Saccharomyces cerevisiae S288C: one gene and its partner. The gene in region 1 interacts genetically with each later gene. Each region holds a gene or a part of one and is shown in the gene's direction. Other genes may lie near its edges.

Evidence for each region. A genetic interaction does not mean that the proteins touch.
Region 2: mutations in YPR089W (region 1) and CWC25 together harm fitness more than expected from each alone (negative genetic interaction), as found in Saccharomyces cerevisiae (2 studies listed by BioGRID).

What each region holds. Positions count from the first base shown.
Region 1 is NC_001148.4:711,313-714,912, forward strand, and holds the start of YPR089W (uncharacterized protein), read left to right. Parts: upstream 1-1,962; coding exon 1,963-3,600. Other genes in the region: RNA-binding signal recognition particle subunit SRP54, read right to left, coding at 91-1,716.
Region 2 is NC_001146.8:185,602-188,449, reverse strand, and holds CWC25 (U2-type spliceosomal complex subunit CWC25), read left to right. Parts: upstream 1-1,564; coding exon 1,565-2,104; downstream 2,105-2,848. Other genes in the region: SLA2 (Sla2p), read right to left, coding at 1-399; SUI1 (translation initiation factor eIF1), read left to right, coding at 954-1,280; VPS75 (Vps75p), read right to left, coding at 2,101-2,848. UniProt on the Saccharomyces cerevisiae protein: Involved in pre-mRNA splicing.

The sequences.
Region 1 (3,600 bases):
AGGTATTCGAAAGGATGAAAGCTAAACAAGTTATTTGAAATATGCATACATACATATATATATATACTGTGTATATTCAAATGGTGGCCTTTAGCCCATACCGAATTGTTTTGCCATTTGTTGCATTTGTGGATCTTGCATCATTTTCATCATTTCGTTCATATCAGGCATTCCTCCGCCCATTCCTCCGCCCATTCCGCCACCAAACATGTTCATCATATTTTGCATTAGACCTGGATTTTGCTTCAGCTTTTGTTGTGCCTGCTGCATCATTTGTGGAGTCACTTTTGGCATACCAGGCATATTCGGCATACCAGGCATGTTTGGCATACCCGGCATGTTTGGCATGCCAGGCATCCTAGCATTGGCACCAGGGGCTCCTGGTTGTTGCTGGGTTGCGGTTTGTGCCATTCTTGCCATCATCTGCTGTTGCATCAATATCATTTCTACCTCGAACACAGAAGTACCTGAACCTTTAGCTACACGAACCATTCTTGTAGGCTCTTCAATGAACATTCTACCATCAGATTCTAGTTCTTCTTTAGTCATAGAATCCAAAACGTAAACCATTTTCTTCATCTTTTGAGAGGTTTCCTCCTCCCCTACTTGATTCATCATATTACTCATACCAGGAATCATCTGCGCTATATTTGATAATGGACCCATTTTCATTATTGTTTGCATCTGTTTCTTGAAATCTAGCAAGGTGAACTTACCCTTTTGGATGTTTTCCATTGTGGCTTTTGCATCTTCCTTGTTGGAAACGGTTTGTAATTGCTCAAAGAGACTCTCTATATCACCAATACCCAACAGTTTAGATATGAATGACTTAGGCGAGAACTTTTCCAAATCATGAATGTGCTCACCTGTACCAATAAAGATAATCGGAGTGTTTGTGGCTGCAACGGCCGAAATTGCCCCACCCCCTCTAGCGTGGCCGTCCATCTTGGTTAATATAATGGCACCAAAATCGGACGATTCTTTGAAAGCCTTGGATTGTTGCTCTGCAGCTTGACCAATGGAAGCATCTAAAACCATGATAGTTTGATTAGGCTTGATGACATTGGATATTTCAATCATTTCTTGGAACAACTCTTCTTCTTGATGATGCCTACCTGAAGTATCAACGATGATGATATCAAACTTCTCTTTCTTAAACTTGTTAATACCTTCTTCTGCAACTTTGGCAGGGTCAGTCTCCGTATATGACCCATAAAATGGAATTCTTGCTCTTATAGCGTTTTGTTTCAATTGGTCAAATGCACCAGCACGGAAAGTATCCGCACATACCAAACCCACTTTGAAACCTCTCTTCGAGTAGTAAACTGCTAACTTGGTACAGGAAGTAGTTTTACCTGAACCTTGCAGCCCAACAAACATGATGATGTTTGTCTTTCTCTTCTTGGGCACAAAGGCCTTCTCTTCACTACCTTCGCAGGTGACCAACTTACACAGTTCATCAAACACCGTTTTCTGAATAAGCTTCTTAGTTTGTGCGTTTGTTGTGGACTTCTCACTACGGTTCTCACTCAGCAGCTGTGACCTTATATTATTTCGTAACTTAGAAACCAGGGCAATATTCACATCCGATTCTAACAACGCAGTCACGATGCCCTTTAACATTACATCTACGGATGTAGTAAAGTCATCCTGTGTATTGGAAATCGCGTTATTCACAGCAGAATTAATCCGCTTCCCCAAATCAGCCAAAACCATCCTTTAGTTAGACTCGATGCTGTGTTTTCTTTCCCTTCTCTTCTGCATCCTTGCTGTTCAACCACTTTTCATTATCTTGTTTTACCACTATTTTTTTTCACTTTGTTGATGTCTTTATCGTTAGCGGTGATTTTTCGATATTGAGATGAACGAAAAGACCATCATACTATAACAATATGGGTAGTGACTGAAGTATAGGAGAGCCGCAATTGCCGGTCTACAGAACTCACAAGGCATTCGTGAACAATGAACAGTGTTTGGGATGATGCTAGAATAGAGGACAGAACGGTGGACAAACCAGTAGGCTCCTCTCACGCTCAGGAGAAACTCGCGCTGGTAAAATCAACTTTGTTTAAACTTGACCAAGAAGATAGACCAGAATGCGATTCCTGGGTACAACTAGTCAAATTGATCTGCGACGAAGACCGTGAAGAAGAATTTACTACATTCAAGGAGTTATTAAGGGAAGTCAAAAACGTTAATGATAAATCCGTCACAGGCGTTGCCTTGATTCATTATATCATTGTATTTGATCGTGCAGACTACATTGAGTTACTACATGATAATCCTTCTGGTGCAAAATTAGATTTGAATCTTGTCGACGACATTGTAGGTTACACACCTTTGATGTGGAGTTTCAGTCTGCAGAGAAGGAACTGTTGCTTGGAGCTGTTCAACGCATTCGACGAGATAAACTTCAACATGACGAATAAGGCTGGATTAACCGCTTGGGATATGGTTCCTCCATATTCACCACTTTCGGAATTTTTGGAACAAAACAATATGTTTCGATACCGTACCGAAGTAAAACATGAAATACCTCAAATTTCCCAACCGAAAGACACCTCTCTTCTAATGAGTAATGAAGACTCTACCACGAAAGAAACTTTTGATAATATTGACTTACAAGTCGCCGGTTTGACCCTGTCCCCTGGTGCAAATGACAACATGTTTCTGGATTCTGATGAAAAGAACATGAATCATTCTCAGGGAGCTGCAACCCTAATAGATCCCACATATACAGAAGACTACCACGGTACATTTGATTATGATAAACTATCTCCGGACCAATACTTGGAATTTTCCGACTTTGATATACCACAAATCCTGAATCTATTGATATCGCTACCACAAAAGGAACCTCACATGACCACCTATCCAGCTGGTTTAATATACCAATGTATTAGATATGCTGATCATAAGATAAAGTCCAAGCCACTAGTAGAATCGTTAATTAACTTATCTCTAACAAAAATTCTGACCAGTGTTTCATCCAACGGAGCTGCAGGATTGGTCTCCACAGAAGCTTCTTTGCAAGCAGGTGACATTGTATTGCAATCGTATTGGTTAAGTTGTTTATCTTTTCTCTATTACTACCTCTGTAGAGATGATTCATTTTTCAAGAGGCATCCAAGCGTGTTACAAGAGCTGATTAACACCATCCACTCTATTATCATAGAACTGACATCTTCCATTCATTGCAGGTTGATTTCTTTGATAGATTCAACTTTACTAGCATACACAACAATCCAGGACGTTAAACAAACTTTATACAAAAGAGACTGGAACTTTTTTAAAAAGAGAAAGCAGGCCAAGCTTTTATTGAAGGAAAAGAACAGAAAACAATTAAAGGAACAACAAAAGAAAGAACTTCATCGAAAAAGCCAGGGTCAAGAAAATCATGAAGAAGAGGAGGGTCAACAAGATGGGAATGATTCAGATGATAGGGCATCAACAAATGATGATAACAATTCTAGTGTTTCACTCTTTTATGATAAAGAAATTTTGAGACATTTATATCCTCCATCATTCGAAGAGCAGATGAAACCCTCTCCACTAAAGATTGTTCAAATATTTGGTGCCTTGTCTTACGTTCTTAATTTA
Region 2 (2,848 bases), on another chromosome or scaffold:
GTACTCAAACGTCCCGTTGTTAAACCCTCTATGGTGCGCATGAAAGTCCAGCTTCAAAACCAGGTACCGCACATACTCCCGAATCAGTTTGCTGTACGACGAACCGCCAGAATGTACCCTACCCAGAGATCTGATCCAGTCCCTATCCCGGATGGCCTCAGCTAGCGCTGACGGATGTCCCTCTTGTATGATCTTATGCAGTACAATAAGCATCTTGAACAGTTGCACTTCGTCATTGGCCAGAGGCAGCGTCTTAAGGGTTGTAAAAACAGCTTTGGAAGACTGATGGTCCCATGTGTACACTATGCATGCGCGTACGTGCTTTCTCTTAGGTGCGGTCTCCTCAACGGAACACGCCTTTTTAAGCGCTTTCTGCAGATCTGAATCTATTCTGGACATCCTGTTCTAGCTGCTAGTACTATCACTACTACTGCTATGGCTGTATTACTAATATTTCTATTGTTTCACTATTCTTTATATATATTTATATATGTATATTTTCCAGCAAAACACCCTTTTTGGCATTCTCCTATAGGACGTCAAACGGCGCGCGACCGCGTCATTTTATACGAGCAGCCGCTGCGTCGTCGTACAAAACGCACCGACCTACATTACAATAAAAAGTACCCGTAAAAGGATCATGTGTACATGGTTCCAGTCTTTTGGTTCGGTACTATAACTACTGTAAACGACCCTCTCACTGCAGTTTATGATATGTGATCGCGTTAAAAATGGGTATTATCACCAATAACGGGTCGGGTAACAGATTTTTTCGATGCGCCGGCAAAAAATTTTAGTTTTTTTTTTTTTCATCACAGGGATAAAAGCAAACTGCAAAAGGACAAAACAAGAGAAGAGCTACTTGTTGTTTTCGTTTCGTGCTGGGGGTTTTCTCCTTTCTATTCTTTTTCAAAAAAGACAAGGAATATATTAATATAGCTGAAGCAAATCGTATGTCCATTGAGAATCTGAAATCATTTGATCCTTTCGCCGACACAGGAGACGACGAAACCGCCACTTCAAACTATATTCATATTCGTATCCAACAGAGAAATGGTAGAAAAACTTTAACTACGGTGCAAGGTGTCCCAGAGGAATATGATTTAAAGAGAATTCTTAAGGTCCTAAAGAAGGACTTTGCATGTAATGGTAACATTGTCAAGGATCCAGAAATGGGGGAGATTATTCAGTTGCAGGGTGACCAAAGAGCAAAGGTTTGCGAATTTATGATCTCCCAACTGGGATTGCAAAAGAAGAACATTAAAATTCATGGGTTTTAAGTTCAAGGCTTACGCCGAGTCGCTTACTCGCTGCTCGCTTTCTTTCTTAGTGTTGTTATCCTATATAAAACGTAACTGTTTAGTTATTTAAGTCCAAGTGCATATTTACACTATAATATATAATATAACATCTCATCTTTTTTTATTTCTTTTTCTTCTTCTCCCGCCGCGGGCTTACATACAGAGATATAAGAACAAGTGGTACGTAGCATGCAGCTTCTCAAAAGAGATGAGCGTTCAGTTTTGAGTACAGGGAAGAAAGGCCAAATCGAGAGTACATTATCATGGGGTCGGGCGATTTGAATCTGTTGAAATCATGGAATCCCAAGCTTATGAAAAATAGAAAAAAAGTATGGGAGACCGAACAGGATCTAATTACCGAACAGCAGAAGCTTAACACGCGATTGAAAGAAATTGAAAAAGAACGAGAACTAAATGAACTGCTGAACGAATCGAGCAAGGATAAGCCGGAGACTCTCAAGAATGACTTGGCTTTGAAGAAGTCGGGCTTGGAATGGATGTATCAGGATGCAAAACTGAGTGACGAAAAGGAAGACTATTTATTAGGTAAGAAAAAACTAGATTCATCTATACTAAACCAACCTGCAACACCGCCTGTAAGGGCGGCCACTACTATTTCCGCTTCTGGTGCCGCAACATCCATAAGTTCGCAGAAGAAGAAGTCAAAATTGCTTAAAGATGATCCAATGAGTAAGTTTAAGGTAACTAAACAACAAAGAAGAACTCCAGACTCAACAAAAAAAAGAGCAATGTCGCAACGAGGGAAACCGTTGTCCAAGCCCGCTCCGGACCTAGACTACTAAACTTTCCTTTTCTTAGAGCTTGGTTCCTCGTCGGATAGTGGCAAGTCCACCTCACCGAGACTGCCATCGTCATCCTCGCTGTCGCCATCTGCGCTTAACCCGGATTCTCCTTCTTCGTCTTCCAAGTCCCTCTGGGCCTCAGCATAGTACTTCACACAAAAAGGGTAGATCTCTTCACTGAACAATGACGCCAATGAGTCGCCGTGCGGGAACTCCTTCCCGGGTTTTAGGCCGGTCCATCTGAACCAGCCAAATATGGTTTTCATTCCCTGTCTGTACTTTTTTTTACCCTCTGGACTGCGTTTGTCTTTGATCAAGTCCGGGTTTATCGAGTCGTAACTCTGGGGCCACTCAATTGGAACGGGCTCACTAGTCAGTATCCCGTCTTCTTGGTCATCTTTGCCTTTTTTGATTTGGAACACCTTGGTGACTTGCTGCTCTTTGAAGTCTCCCTCAATTCCATGGAAATGGAATGTTATACTAAAATCTCTAGTGTCGTACATTTCAGACTCCAATGCCAGCCATTCTACTTTGATCTTATCTATAGTGTCAATGTATTTAAAATCTGAAGCCCTTATGTAATTCGCAAAACTAACGTGTTGTGAAAGCACAATTTTCCAGAACTCTGCAATTTCGTCAATATACGCGTCCCTCTTTTCATAAACAGGCTTCATTTTGTTCAATCTGTATAATTCTACCTCACGTTCAATAGCGTCCACTTCTTCTTCGCATTTAGCCAATCCT